3 linked regions of the Neodiprion lecontei genome follow. The protein of the gene in region 3 interacts with the protein of the main gene of each other region in a pairwise test. Links are inferred from orthologs where the notes say so. Each region holds a gene or a part of one and is shown on either strand. Other genes may lie near its edges.

Region 1 (4,978 bases), on a different chromosome or scaffold from region 3:
CGAAAAACGGAGGAGGGAGGGAGGGAGGGCGGCATTGTCTGATGATGAGGGTAGCCCGTGGTGCCGTGGAGGAAGGCGCGGAGAGGCGCGGAGGAAGACGACCGCGGCCTTACGCCTCGGGCGAAACACGACCCGTTTCAAAGACACGTAGAGGTATAGGGCCAGCGAGCGGAAGGGCGCGCCCTAAAATATGTGGACCCTCGGGCGACGCGGACTCCTCGTTACATCCCGACGGATGCCCCGAGGCGGCCCGATTTGTCCGTCCGTTCGTCTGTCCATCGGTCCGTCGCTCGTCCGGTTGACTCTGGAGCGCCGAGGTATGATACAAAAACACGAGGTTATTTTCTCTCTCGCGCACTCGTACAGTCATACCCCCGCCATTCGTCGACAGGGACTCGAGCCCCTGACCCTGGGGCAACGAGCGATACCATGCACGACGACCTTATCCTCGTCGGGCGGATAACTCGCCCACGTGGGTGACGAACCACGGCTGATCTCATCCTCGTGCATCTGTGCAGATGCGTCTACCGCAGGGTCCTTCCACGGAAATTCCGATCGTTGGAATCCACTATGTCCAGTGGTCCCGAAAATGTCCTCGAATTTGTTACGAATTTTTTACTGGACACCATGGAATCTCGGATATCTTCGGCAACTTCCAGCACCCTGTCAGGAGTGTTTCGTTTTGGTGCATTGACATTGCACGTGGTGGAATGTTAGGATTTGGCGATGAAACCGCATTCGGCGCAGCCTCGTTCGATCTTTTAACGTTTCTGTTCCGTTTCTTTGTTTGCTTTTTTCCTCTGTCATTGAAATTTGCATATTAACACCGACGGCGGATAATGGTGATGGGATATTGGCCGGGCAGTCGGCCGGGGCTCCATGCCCTACAGCTCTTATACTCGTTCGCGTCGGCGTTGGCGTTCGCGGACCGTTTCGTGCTGTTCGATTTGGTTCGGAAACGCCTTGGGCATCGAGGAATAACGTTGTTGGCCGTGGCTGCTTCGCCCTTGGGCTATTCCAATATAACTACAATATCCTGTAGAGGAATATCTCCGTGTAGTAGTGAACCTTGCGAAGGCGAGCCAGCCCGCGTTCCCTCAATATCAAACGCTGCGTGCAACAACACCCGGGAAGCAGCTCTGTGTTATATACATTTTTCGTTGACCACCGTGTCAAATCAATAAACTTACAAAAGGAATTCTCCCAAGACCATTTAACGCATCTCGGATCAACCTCTTTTCATCAAAATCCACCCATTCCGTCCAAGCACCAAAATAGCTACACAACACTGACATGTTTTCTCTCGGAGCAATAATTAGCGTTTCGGCGAAGTTCTAATTGAATCCTGTACAGTACATCGTTTAGCGCGTGAACGAATGTCAGAGTGTCATCTTCGACTCTAAACCAGTACCATAATCGAAACGAGAATAGTAAGTGAATTTTGTCGCACAAGTTATACCGCCTCGTGAAAAATTCGTTCCTACAGCAACGGTGCTTTATCCCAGATCACCAATCCTAAAAACTATCGTACGCATCGCCTGTCTATAAGTAGCGATCAGAAATGATCGAGACTACGAATACCTGTACCCGGTTTTGGCCGATCTCTGGCGACTCGAACCTGCGCCATAACGCAGTTTCGGATTAATTCTTCCGCGGTACCAAATCTTGATTTCGGCTTCATGGTCACCAACCCAATGTCCCTAGTTACACCCACTTCCACTTTTTTCCTGGATTCGTGAAGAGGTAAAACTGGATCAATCCGTGATTTTTGGAGTACCTTGAGACCCCGATGAAGGCACCGAGTGAAAATATCGCCGGATATCGAAATCGGCGTCGTCGTCGTCGGCGGCGGCGGCGGCGGCGGCGTCGCGACGCCAGCGTAGGATGATCGGTGGCCTGCGGTCCGTCTCGACGTCGCGAGCAGCGCAGTTCCCGCCCGGCTGTCGCGTCGTGCGCGTCGATGTGCTGCACCAGTCCGATATTAACGCGGGAAAACCAACCACGTGACAAGTGTGACGAGTATTATAGATATATAATATAATAATTAAGAGGAAGGTGGGCGTAGCTGATGCCTACGTGCCGATGACAGGAGGACCGTCGCCTCGTAGTCGCATTTTCCGCGCATATCGAGAATTTGACGACTGACTGCGTGTCTTTTCGCTTCTTCTTCTCCTTAATGTTTTTATTTTCATTTCTTAGTTTCTTTTTCATTTTCGTTATTCAATCTTCATTTCTTTTTTTCGCGTGTGAGTTGGTGCGATCTTTTACCTCTTATAATACACCCGACTATCTTGTGGTGACCAGTTGGCAAAGCAAAGGGGGATTTATTTGAAAATCGAAGAATACAAAGTGCTTCGAAAGTGCCTGATTATATCGCATTGGAATTTCGAATCTTTGATCGTCCACGGAATTTGGTCAAGTTGAAGAAAATCAAGGGAAAACAATTCGTCGTGGACAATCGGGGAGGAGCCGTCAACCTGGAGGCCACGTGTCCGAAACGGTGAGCATGACGCAGATATTTTCTCCAACATCCTCATGCGGGTGCATCATGCAATGCGGAGTCCCTTCAGCATGCCATTTCCGTATTAAAGCCCTTTGTATTCTTAATCCAAAAGTCTGTCAAAGCGACTGTCAGCCCACCGTTTTCAAATGTCAAAGCGACTATCAGCCCACCGTTTTCAAATTAATTTTAACCGCGCACATATTTGATCAATGAACGATTGTAACTTGTTGAACTTGTAAGCAACTGTTCAGATACGGGGTATTTTTTTTTTTTTTCTTACACATCTAATTCTTGTCAGTGGTTTGACTTGTTCGCTCGTATTATAACGTACGAGGAGAATAAAGTGCGGGGAATGGCGATCTGGTATGAAAAGATTTACGAGAATGAATCGTATGATAGGTATACAAATTGGTGCTGCGACCTGAGACCAATCAACACGCAAAGCGGGGCAATTAAAACCCAGAAGCTACCGAGCACGAGCGAAATTGCCATTAAACGTGATGTATGCACATACATATAAGTATAACATATAGGTATACTGTAGATACAGACAGCCGTGTCTGCGCGAAATCGGGAATTGATGCCATAGCTAGTCGATTACATACTCAACAGTTTTTAATCCAAACAAATCATTAAACTTTATCACTAATTAAGGTAAAAATTTTTAAAAAAAAGGATAAATTTATTCGATTTTCGCATCGGTTTAAATCCGATTAAACTGAAAAGTGAAATTTCGGTGCAGTTGAAACCTGACAGAGAACTCGAATTGTTAGTATACCTATACAGGTGTGGGTTGAGAACGTTTTCCGAGCATCTGACGCAGAGGGGCACCCCTCGTCACAATATTCCTCATCTTTTCCCTCATCTCGATCCTTTGCTCCTTCTCCCTGCGGTAAATATATAATATAAGGCGTGTTTCAATCGCGTATACTTTATACTACACCTATATATATATATATATATATATATATACATTTACACTGCACCTCGAGCTCACATCAGTGGCGTTTGGAAAGACTAGCGATGGTTGAGGATAACCCGGGGAGCCCTGAGGCCCTCCGAGGTTGAGGACACGGGGAGGAGGGTGAAAGGAGAGGAACCGGGACGCCCGGGGCATCGGGGGCCCCCGGGTGCAGACGCGCTTCTCGTTCCGTTCCCGTAATTAGAGCAGAAGCCCGGAGGGCGAGCCGCAGGCGTTCGCGTCAGTATAAGAGGCCCCGAACTTATTCGGGATCAGGGTGAGGGGTGGAGGGGGAGGGGGATGAACGGACGGAGAAAATATCCATATTTTTATACACGTATGTACGTGTGTGTGTACGGTATATTCCACGCCGACTTGGTAAACGGTTGACCCTTAATTTTTTTTTCATTTCACTAAGGATTTTTCCTACGTTAGTAAAATTTTGATATCGTCGTCAGACAATATAACGTATCGGCGTGTATAATTGCTTCGATGATATTGTAGTAACACAAGTATTTATAGAGGTCGATCTTGTTAATTACTTCAAGTGAGGTACGAATATACAGTACGAGTTATAGATTAGTGTCTTGTATACTCCCAGGAAAGTTTAGAGTTTCAGATTTTTTTCCGATGTGCAGATGGATTTTTGTGTTTTTGGAATGCTAGAGATTCTTGAATTATTCAGATCTTCAATGATTTAATATTGTTTTCGAACACCGGTGTTTCATCGCTGGATCGTATAATGGACGAAGTTTCGTCGAACCGTTGAGGAATAATGAAATTGGATGGTTTTGAAAATTGAAATCACTAATCTGACACTTGATATTTCGAATGTGATAGATTACGGAAAATGATTAATTCAGAATTGAGAAAAATATTTCAGATGAGTGTTGGTTCGAAGTTTGAAGACTATTGCTGAAACGTTATGAAAGATATGAAAATTGAGAAATTCGCATCTAGGTATAATATAATGTTAACAAAGTTCGATTGCTGCAAGAATCGTTGCAATCATGTACCGGTCTACTTGTAACAAGCTTCATCACTCACGAATCTCTGTAAGCGACTGCCTGTGTATAACCGGAAGTATCTGGCGTTTCTAAAATTTTCAAAAGTCTCGTATCGAGACACGTCAACTTGCATGTCATGATATATAATTACGTAACTGCATCAAAAATTGGACTTAATTCCGAATAACGAAAACTTTGGTATTGTATGCACGCAATTCCGTGATTACTGATTGAAAAAAATTTCGAATATTGCTATCTTCCTTACAACACTTTGCCGAATCTTTGCCGCTCTCAGAATGAAAGCCGGAATGATATTCCGAACGCAAGGTAATCTCCAACGAGTTTTCAAACACTTCTAGAACCGGGTGCAAAGTAGGTACGTATACGAAAGGTGTAACATGCGGTCCTCGGTCACGCAGCCTGTATCTCATACCCATGTGTAAGTATATGCGTAGCGTATCCGAAGTTTCCGTCTAGTTGGCAAGTAGGCGAGAGAGTATAACTGGT
Region 2 (6,703 bases), on a different chromosome or scaffold from region 3:
ATTAGTCGTGCAACCCCAAAGAGACAATAAAACTTCGTGCAGCATTTCTTTCGCTTCAAAAACACATTTAACAATAAGATCCGTCTACCCAGTCCAGGTTGTTTGGAGCTGTTCGAGCATTGAAGTCTGATTAAATTTGATTTGAGAACACGTCTGAATCATTGGTGTAAACGCATCCACTTCCGAGTTCAAGTGCATCGTCAATTGCACGACCGTGTTTGCATGCGTGTATCGGCATTTAAGGGAAGAAACTTCTCGAGAAATTAGTTAAAATCAGCGGGAGGTAGATATTTATTGAATTTTTTGATTTTCTCTCAAATTTCTCATTAACCTTTGGTGTATCTGTGGAAATCAAAGCACACTTGTTTGCTACAGTCTGCAATGCAAACCGCAATTCGAAAATTGCTATGCCATAGACAATTCCAATTAATCTGCCAATGCAAAAACAATATTTGTAAACATTATAACAACTTCTCGGTAACAATTTGTGAAACGATGGACACTGTTGGAGACTGCCAGCTAGCCCTGCGTTATTTTTGATAGTAATTTGCCAGCTCTACTGGGCAGGTTTGGGTGTAATTCCACTACCCTGCACTTAACAACTGACTCGTCTCATCCCAATCCGCGGGATCCTAATGCAAGATCAAGTCGGCGTAGCAGAATATTGTAACGTTCCCCCTCGCCCTTCAGCAGTCCATAAGGCTAGCAGTTTCGAATATCTTTAGTCAAAAATTGAAGGAACGAAATTGAATGTTCCGAAATACCAGGAATCTTCAAGTTTGTAAAACTTCCGGTTTAGTCGTAGGCATGTCGTAGGTAAGATTTTAATGTTCTTGACTCTTACATGATTGTTCCGTTCTAACTAGTTATAGCAACGTTCAGAATGCGCGTGAATTATTGCCCTACAATAAGAATAATCCTCTACCGTTGACAGATATTCTACAGTTATCAAATTGATTTTTTTGTGTGCATATATAATATAATATACATCTTTATATCAGAGAAAAATCTTTTCTATAATGTTTTACAGTCGTTCTCATAGCCCTGTTGCATGAAAATTACACAGATGGCGCACGTGGACATTGGCTAGCGGTCTATGGCTACCCATATAGAAGGGTGTGTTCCGAAATGAGCTGCGACCGTTGATAATTCATTAACTAGAAACAGAACTGGTGGTCAAACTTGAAATACAACAAAGATAAAAGATTGCTGACAGTACTGTCAACTAATTTTGGAGCATAGCCTTGGAAAAAGATAAATTTTCGGAGTAAACGCAGCCAGTACGCAGTCTATTCCGAACAATTTCAAATAATTGTTTAAATTTCACTTCCAAGTCTTAACTTGAAGGAAACTTGAATAATTCCATGAACCCAGACGTATTGTGATCGTCAAAGGCCACTAAAAGCTTTTCCAAAATACAATAACAATTAAGATAAGGAGTGATCAGTCTTCTGTGACGCTGGACATAAAAGTGCTCAGCATATTACAGCGAAAATAAAAATTTCGGCGTACAACGCGGGAAACGAACGGGAATTTTCTTCAAGTGGTGGGAAGCACAGCAGACAAGACGGCTTCGCAAAAAAAATCGTCGAGGAAGATGGCGGATACGGAAGAACTGAAGGTAGGACGAGAATAAAATAGATCTTATTATCTTGACTTAAACGAGCCACATGTTAAATGCCTTCCAGAAACTTGAGTCATTGATTTTTCCGTGTCTTATTTTTCACCAATTATCGAACATTCACATATCCAAACTCTTCCAATGTCTTGCCAACGCAAGCAAGGCTGCGTTTGATCATACTAAGCGACATTTATTTTCACACGCGGCTTTTCGCTTTTCTTCACATTCGTCCAATTTCCAACTTCCATATTTTCGTAAACGTATCTTCATTCAATTCGGAAACTTCTCGTGTATCTCAAGCATAACACAGGAATGCGGATACGAGACGGCAAGTAGGAGCAACTGATAACTACAATGGGTAACCTCTATCTCTAGCTTATGCATCACGCTATTCAAATAATCAACATATTTTACTCTACAAAATTTTTTGGAATTGCCTCCCCATCTATCTACTTTGGGCACAAGAGTTTACTTTTGTGCACTTCGTATATGGCAGGTTGGGAAAAATTGTCATATTTGATTATATATTTTTCCGACTAGTACTATAGAGTGTAATAACATTTGAGAATATAGCTAGACAGAAACGGTACGATTTTCTAGCAGGAAGAATTTGTCGTTATTGCCTAATGTTGTTATCATTAAAGACATTTTCTCATTCTGTGAAGTCTCAGTTTGTCTATAATTATCTTGGGCTATTATGGCTATAAAAATGTCAATTGTCTATTTCAGAGTATGGTATTAAGTTTTCGAGTATCTGAACTTCAGATGCTTTTGGGTTTTGCTGGGCGAAACAAATCAGGTCGAAAAAACGAACTTCAAACACGAGCTTTGGAACTATTACGCCTTCGATCCCATCCTGTGCAGCTAAAAATTCGCGACCTTTATAGAACCATACAGTAAGCCAATATTTATACCAATTTTCATTCCCTTTGGCTAGATATCTGTCAGAACAATAATACTTAAGGATTACATCAAACGTGTAACAGCTGTCACAGTTCATAATTAAACAGCCATGTTCTAATAAAATGAATGGAACCAGTTTGAAACGGTGATACTTTGCTGATTTATTAATAAATACACATAGTTCTTTCTTTCACTCATATTGTCAGTACAATAAAAATCTGTGTCACAGGCAAGATCAACTTGCCGCACATCAGCTGTATGGTCAAGGTGGCGACAACGGTGAGCCTCAAATCGATCAAAACATGCATTCCCGTAACTATTATACAAGGTAAGTCAGAGTTACATTAACTATGTCACTTCTAAGATATCCATTGACTCTGTAAGGAGTAGGAACATGTTTATTTGTTTGTTCCTGAATCTTAATCCAATTGTTTTAGGCAAGGCCATGCTCAGGCAATGAGTCAACAACAGCAGGCCCAATCATCTATTTCAAGTGGGAAGGATTTGCCCCCGGCGCATCAGGCATCGATGCCTCAATCCCAAGTGGCACCGAGAACATCATCTGTTTACCAACCAACTGGATACACCAGTGTTACACCGCAGGTAGATTTGGTTTTCATTTGAAGATAATTGAAGTACTTATTTTGTGAAGTGCTAAACTATCTGTTAATTTCAGCAACGCTCGTCTAGTGCTGTTTATAATCCTTATCCCTATCCAACAAAAGTACTACCGCCTCCCCTGCAATTACAACAACCAAACCAGTATCCAGTTCACCCTGATGTCAGGCTTAAAAAGCTACCATTCTTTGACCTGCTTGGAGAGCTGTTGAAGCCTTCGAGTCTTATGCCACAAGGATCTATGAGAGTTCAAGAAGGCACTTTCACATTTCACTTAACGCCACAACAGTCTACAGACATTGCTAGCTCACGAGACTGCCGTGCTGGGAGTAAAATGGACTATACTGTACAGGTGGTGTGCTCTAATATTTTACGGTCAATAGCTAGAAGGCAATAGCATTTTTTCGAACGTCACGGTTATTGCTATTGTTTATCTTTTGTATATATTTAGAAACATGTTTGAAGTATTATTTTTTTGTGTGTAACAAAAATCTTCCTGAGGTTTTACAATCTAAATGTTTGTTGTACTCATTATACAGGTTCAGATGCGATTTTGCTTGCAAGAAACTTCTTGCGAACAGGAGGACTACTTTCCACCTAGTATCATAGTTAAAGTCAATGGAAAACTATGCCCATTACCGGTATTATATATATATATTCAAGTTTTTTAAATTCACCCGATTCTTATTTATCTTTATAGTTGATATATCACCATTATACCATCCAAAACATTTTTTATTATAACTTCAGAATCCCATACCAACTAACAAGCCTGGTGTCGAACCTAAGCGACCACCTAGACCAGTGAATATAAGTCCATTAGTGAAATTATCACCAACAGTAGGAAATCAAATACATGTCTCATGGTCTGCAGATTATGGTAGACGATATGCTATTGCTGTTTATCTTGTTAGAAAGTTGACAAGCTCAGAATTGTTGGCTAGATTGAAAAGCAGAGGTGTCAGACATTCCGACTACACTCGCGGACTAAGTAAGTTGAATTTAATCAAGTACTTCTACTCCGATAGTTTCGATACCTTTAATCTATTTAACACTCATTACTGTGATTCAGCATTTTGTTTTAAAGTGTTGAAATTTAATCAATGATAACGCCTTCAAATTTTATCAGCTGAATTTCCTGAGACTCAGGCTGCTTTTTTGGCTGAATCATGATTCTGTTCTTTTTTTCTTTTGCTCTCAGTAAAAGAAAAGCTGAATGAAGATGCAGATAGTGAAATAGCGACAACTTCATTGAGAGTTTCACTGGCTTGTCCACTGGGAAAAATGAGGATGAGTACTCCTTGCAGAGCTTCGACTTGTTTGCATCTACAATGTTTTGACGCTTCTTTATTTCTGCAAATGAACGAACGAAAGCCCACATGGAATTGTCCTGTTTGTGACAAACCTGCACTTTATGACAACTTGGTTATTGATGGTTATTTCCAAGAAGTATTGAATTCAAATAAGTTACTGCCTGATGGTAATGAGATACAGTTATTACAAGATGGCTCCTGGGAAAATTTGGTTATGAAAAAAGATAAAGACAAAGACAAAGATAAAAATCAAGTTAATGCTGAGGTTAAATCATTACAGAAAGTGGAAACGCTAGATCTTGGTAAGTTGGTAAACCCCTCCATTATTTTCGTAGAAGTTTTAGGAATTTCACTTTGAAAATTGAAAAAAAACTGTTATTATTGAAAGTAATGCTGATTAATTTTGAGCAAAGTTACGCCCAGGTAGGGTCGATTCTGAGCCCCCTTATTTTAACGGGACAAAAATCAGGTTGCCAGCACTAGCGTCTACCCTACGCCTATTAGAAAATACACATCATATCTGCTCCATACACTACTACGTTTGGCTACAAGCTACCGGAGTTAACCTTATTGCTGACCTGTTTAAATGAGAGGCGATTGGAATCGAATTTACTTGTAAAGGTGTACCTTAATCTTCTGATGTTCGTACAACACGTTTTATTTTCAGATGAGTCCACCAACCCATCACCACTGTCACCAAATGAGAAGAAACGTGCTGTTGTCATCGATCTAATATCAGACAGCGATGATGATTCAAACCCATCACAAAGTTCGAATAAAAAACCTAATACTGGGACGTTGTCGCCACAAAAAACCCAGTCCGGTGCTCATAGTGCAATAAGTAGTACTAGAGAGTCTCCAGAATTAATGATAATTGATTTGGAGTAAGAAGTGTTCCTGTATATTGATGACTAACTGTTTGAGGCTGTGAGAACCCGGAATAGAATCCAGGTTTAGTATCGAACATAATGAATAAAAAACAGTACAAAGATAATGCACTCATTGTCAGTCTAAGCACTGTGTGAACGGCGCTGTATGGCGGTAGAAATTGGGTGTCATGACGTGTAACACGGATTCGTTTCTCATGTATTTATTTACTGATTATTTAGGATTTGAATATCGTCAACAACTCCTAATCAGCTGGATAGTATTTAAAGGTACACACGGTAGACATATAACTGTATAAAAACTCATCAACCTTTTTTTTTTCGTTAAAACGAAACAGCTTACCAGATTTAAGGACATCTATACATGTTTTAAAATATTGTGGAGAGAGCATCCATAACATGTAGCGAGAACATAATATGTGTAAAATAATTGTCGCTTTGTTGAGCACAATTCCAAATTCTGCAGATAATTGAATCATTTTCATGATATTTTATTCTTTTTACAATTTTAGTTTCCCCACCAAGTTTGGTGCTTGGCTTTGAATTGTATTCTTTCCATTGAAATTTTACGGTTTAAATATCATAATGGAAGATGCGGGACACGTATACAACGTACAGTTATTGATATTCTTTTTCTTTCGTTTACTTTTATTCTAAACTAGCTATCAAAAATATGTTTAATGCTAAGAAATAGCTTGTACGTAACTTGCGATAAAATGAAATAGGCACTGAGTACAGTCGTGTAACGTTACCATATTATGTACTTGATTATTTCGTATTTTTGTATAAGAAATGACATAAAATAAAAAAAAACTTCCTACTCGGTTACGTGTCTTCTGCATATTTTTAAATGTGCATGCGAATATCTAACACCAAATTTGATACCTTGCCTCACTTCCATGTGACTGTACGTAATTTTCCTTGTTGCTAGCAAAACTGAATATTGCGAAAGAGTATTGCACTCTATACTTAAACCCTAACATTTCGCGTGTTGCTGATTACGTGATAAGCTGCCGAATGCATGAAAAGACGCGATTGCGTCGTTGTCACTAACACAAAATCAAAGCTGTGCAATGATTTCATGCATGGAATTGAAAATGTTCGCTTTATTTGCTCGTCTTCCTTTACTTGGCATAATATATTGAGAAAATTAATCGATACTTTGATTTGTATCAGCAATATTATTTATGTTCAGCTTGTAACTGATGGAAGAAAACGTTTTGTTTCCCGTAATCTGCGTACGATAATCGAGTGATAAAAAAAAATTTCTTTCAAAGCTTAAACCAATGTTCATTTAGAGCAATGATGCGTTCAAATTGGATGTTCAGGTACCGCGATGCGTGTCCGAGAAAAGGAAGTAA
Region 3 (4,196 bases):
TGTTTATAGAAAATAAACTTGACTCAGCAAAAATTTCCAAGCTGCTCTACCGTAGAGCAAACATACTTTATGTAGACTTTCCACACCAACGGATCGCTTCAATACTTCAAGGATTCTGTTGCCAGAATTTAATACATCACTCCTGCTCTCAATCCACTGTAAACAACAAATATCAACACTTGAGATATAATAGGAATAAATTGGTGAAAAAATGGAATACTTGGCAGATAAATATCACGTTGAATATGTACTTTGTGTGCAACGGTGGTCAATACAGTTTTAAAACCAGGTTGACCATACTTGTCGACAGGGGGAAAATAGGTTCCTCCTGTAACAGGGGTCAATTCGGGGGTCAAAAATACGCTCATTGGCCATCCACCATGTCCAGAAATAGCCTGAAACAATTTAATGCAGGAAATGAGTTATTTCTCTTAGATATTTTCGTTAACATAACTTATAGAATGACATCTTAAATGAACATGTGTATATTTACTTGAATAAAAGTCATATATATTTTGTCAATGTCAGGTCTCTCCTCGCGATCAACTTTCACATTGACGAAAAACTGATTCATAACACGCGCGATTTCAGGATTTTCAAAGGATTCCCGCTCCATGACATGGCACCAATGACAGGTGGAATATCCAACTGACAGAAATATAAGCTTGTCTTCACGCCGAGCCTTTTCAATTGCCTCGTCACCCCAAGGAAACCAATGAACAGGATTTGTTGCATGTTGCAAAAGGTAAGGAGACTTCTCAAATGCCAATTTATTTTGGGTTTTACTTTCAGAAGGTTCACCTTTCACCGTCGTCGAGGTCATTCTTACACTGTAAGGAATGAATAACCGTTCACTATGAATATATCTGTAAATGAATGAAAAACAAATATCATTATCAGACTATTTAAAACCAATTGTTGGCTTTATCATGTTTACGAATTTTCTCTCCATGGATATACGAACCTTTTGCTATGATAGTTGTTGACTACCTGAAGCAGTTTAATGTCCTTGGCGGAGAATTTTTTGAATTGATGTTCAGAAGAAAAGCGACGAATTGATGTCCATATTGAACATCTTCGCGGAATCATAACATACATATGTGTTAAAATATAATATTATAAATAATAATTATTGAGTAATTTTCACTTGAATAATTATATAACGAGTTTCAAATTAACCTTATCGCAAAGTGAGAAAAAGATAATAACGTTCATAGGTATACGTGTTGCGTGTATGCGCAATTTTATTTACACATGATTATATACGGCACGTATACCTATACCAAAGCCTATACCAATTCGTTCGCATGTTAGTGCGTATAAATATTTATCACATACACTATTTTGCATTTGGTCTGACAGTTTTGATGATAGTTTTTGACGTTTGACCTACCTTTTCCCCGTGGCTATGTAACCAGCTGAGAACCGCAACGTGGTGTTAAATACTCCTCATACAAAGTAGCTTACATCCGGTCGAAGGATCGACGTTATCACTCAGGATTCCTAGGGATAATTTGATAATGGTGCAATTTTTTGTTTCCCAACTTTTCGAAAAGAAAGGCTTGGGCAAAGCTGTCGATCAGCTGGTTCTTCAATACGGATTAATCAGATAAGCTCAAGCCTTTCAGCTCCTTCATTTTGAAAATGTGGGAAATAAATGCATATCCGTTTTTAATTGGCTGCACTGGGTGCGCATGCAATTTCCCTAATTTTCAACTAATGGCAAAGGCGTAAATCTAGGGAAAACGCACTCAGTGCAGCCAATTGAAAACGCTTTGAGCACAGTAGAAAAGTGCACACTGCACATTAAAAATCGGAACACACTGCGTTCTCCATGGTTCATCGTATTTGTCATTGCCGCTAAAAAGCGTAAAGAGTCGTTGCGAAATTCGGATTTCGGGCTTAGGAAGTGCCAAGGCATTCGAACCTACGGTGTGTGTACCAAAGTGCTAACATTACAACCAAATAACCACGTGCCGCGGCGATTAAGCTCACGGAGAGCCTTGCTAAGCTTGGACTAATTTTGCAGATTTAATGTCAGGCATCGCGATCGCTAGACTCGCTGAGGAGAGAAAAGCATGGAGGAAAGACCATCCATTTGTAAGTATTATCTTGTCACTTCTATTACTGCATTGTACTTTTGGATGAAACCGGGTCATTTGGATGGTCCCAAGTTAACCATTTTACCTAGTCAACCATCCCTCCCATTATTACCTGGCCGTAAGGGCATAATAAACCCTCCGAATACATAAATCATGTCATGAAAGATTGTCGTCCACATACGCACGCACACACATGTAAAAAGTGCACAGGTCAATCTCATCGTTTTTACCTCAAGTGGTCTAAATTTTTTTTGTTTTTGAATGGGAAAATTTTTCTTCTGAAACCAGATAACCAAACCTAACCTATTTCTTATTCCTTTTGGGTATCTTCATTTATTGAATTACTTGTGCTGAGATCCGAGGCTGTATGTGACATGCTCAAAATTTGTTACAAACACCCAGAGGCGGCCAGATTTTGAATTTCATTTGTTTACTTACAGGGCTTTGTAGCTCGGCCTACAAAAAATCCAGATGGAACACTTAATTTGATGAGCTGGGAATGTGCTATACCTGGAAAGAAAACTGTAAGATATTGCAAGTCGTTGCTCCTAAAAATCTGCCTTGAATTTATTAAAATCTGATGGTAATTTTCTTTGTAGACTCCATGGGAAGGCGGGCTGTACAAGTTGCGAATGATATTCAAAGACGACTATCCTTCCAGTCCGCCAAAATGCAAATTCGAGCCCCCACTTTTTCATCCTAATGTTTACCCTTCTGGTACTGTATGCCTATCTCTCCTAGATGAAGAAAAGGACTGGCGACCAGCCATAACAATCAAGCAAATCTTGCTAGGAATCCAAGATTTACTTAATGAACCAAACGTTAAAGATCCCGCCCAAGCAGAAGCTTACACTATTTACTGGTGAGTACTCAACGAGGCATAGATTGAGTTTTTTTTTTTCCAAGTCTACAGCGACAACATCACTTATTGAAACTCAATTATTGCAGCCAGAATCGTTTGGAATATGAAAAACGAGTGAAGGCGCAGGCAAGAGCAATGGCACCGCAAGAATAAAAAACACGAACGTTCCACCTACCACAAAGCAAAACTTTATTTTCTAAGCCTGCAACAAATATAATATAACATAATGCAAACTATATACAAATAATTTTTCCCCCACTTACAATTTACATGACCATAAATGTTGCATACATATACATAGGTAAGTAAAAACAGAATCATCATTTTATTTTCTTCTATGTATAATTATCAATGAAATTGTTTATTATCAACGAGTGCTCGATATCAGTGAGATTATCTTCTGCCTGATAAATTAATAATTATCCTATTCGAAATCCATGCCAAGGACAATTATCCTTCATTATATAATGTACATGTAAGAAAAGAGGAAAAAATGTGTTACACATCGTTAGACTTATAATGACTCTATGCGCAAACCGAAGATCAGGTTTTGCAAATGTAAATCTAACCATGATTATACTATAAAAATTATTCTAGGAAGCTGAGTCGATTAATGTTTGTCTCTAAGTATTTATACTCGATGTATCCAATAAAATTTGTGTAAAAATAGGAGCTTTGATAGCGTAGTCTCAGAAAAGGACGTCATATAGTGAAGAGAGGAAATTACATTTATTTTTTTATTTTTTCTTGTTTTTTTTTTATCATTAAAATATTCCACATATCGTTTTACATTGTTCTGTCGATTAAAATCAATAAACAAAAAATTAATATGAATTTTAAATCGAAGCCTTATTACTTCAAACCAAATTTCAAGCCTTTCAAAATAGTTTCTGCATTCTCGTCATTATACACAATATGAAGTTATGACATTTACTTGGAAATAATGTCACTATGATTTCGGAGTGATGTTCATTGAGCATGTAATAAATTGCTCAGTACGCTGCCTCGAGCAAAGTCTAGTAATTTAAAATATTCAATGGCTATTCATGCGCAAGTAGGTTAAAGTCATCGATTGATATATCGATCAATGAAATCTGCTATTCACAGATGACACTGTGTCCATCGCTTTAATCTTCTTAATCCACGTCAACGCCGGCGCATGTGTGCGCCGGACCCGAGAAGCAACCTGTAGCTGCGTAGCAGCCGCGAACCGCGATGGTGGGGCGTATTTT

Evidence for each region. The genes of interacting proteins can lie anywhere in the genome.
Region 1: the proteins of SUMO-conjugating enzyme UBC9-B (region 3) and BTB/POZ domain-containing protein kctd15-like interact in a two-hybrid assay, tested with the Drosophila melanogaster proteins (2 studies listed by BioGRID). The link is inferred for Neodiprion lecontei from reciprocal best matches to the Drosophila melanogaster genes lwr and twz.
Region 2: the proteins of SUMO-conjugating enzyme UBC9-B (region 3) and E3 SUMO-protein ligase PIAS2 interact in a two-hybrid assay, tested with the Drosophila melanogaster proteins (2 studies listed by BioGRID). The link is inferred for Neodiprion lecontei from reciprocal best matches to the Drosophila melanogaster genes lwr and Su(var)2-10.

What each region holds. Positions count from the first base shown.
Region 1 is NC_060261.1:2,904,478-2,909,455, reverse strand, and holds the start of BTB/POZ domain-containing protein kctd15-like, read left to right. Parts: upstream 1-1,941; 5' UTR 1,942-2,500; intron 2,501-4,978. UniProt on the Drosophila melanogaster protein: Functions with the transcription factor TfAP-2 to regulate octopamine neuronal signaling pathways that control behaviors such as male aggression, male mating, and the initiation of feeding.
Region 2 is NC_060260.1:32,571,998-32,578,700, forward strand, and holds E3 SUMO-protein ligase PIAS2, read left to right. Parts: upstream 1-1,655; 5' UTR 1,656-1,670; coding exon 1,671-1,949; exon of another isoform or gene 1,950-1,979; intron 1,980-2,350; coding exon 2,351-2,517; intron 2,518-2,753; coding exon 2,754-2,852; intron 2,853-2,961; coding exon 2,962-3,127; intron 3,128-3,200; coding exon 3,201-3,494; intron 3,495-3,681; coding exon 3,682-3,783; intron 3,784-3,892; coding exon 3,893-4,133; intron 4,134-4,343; coding exon 4,344-4,757; intron 4,758-5,122; coding exon 5,123-5,343; 3' UTR 5,344-6,166; downstream 6,167-6,703. Other genes in the region: gamma-tubulin complex component 4, read right to left, coding at 1-45.
Region 3 is NC_060263.1:2,182,893-2,187,088, reverse strand, and holds SUMO-conjugating enzyme UBC9-B, read left to right. Parts: upstream 1-1,800; 5' UTR 1,801-1,932; intron 1,933-2,029; 5' UTR 2,030-2,034; coding exon 2,035-2,100; intron 2,101-2,542; coding exon 2,543-2,626; intron 2,627-2,701; coding exon 2,702-2,964; intron 2,965-3,050; coding exon 3,051-3,117; 3' UTR 3,118-3,634; downstream 3,635-4,196. Other genes in the region: spermatogenesis-associated protein 20, read right to left, coding at 67-156, 252-395, 494-866, 965-1,098.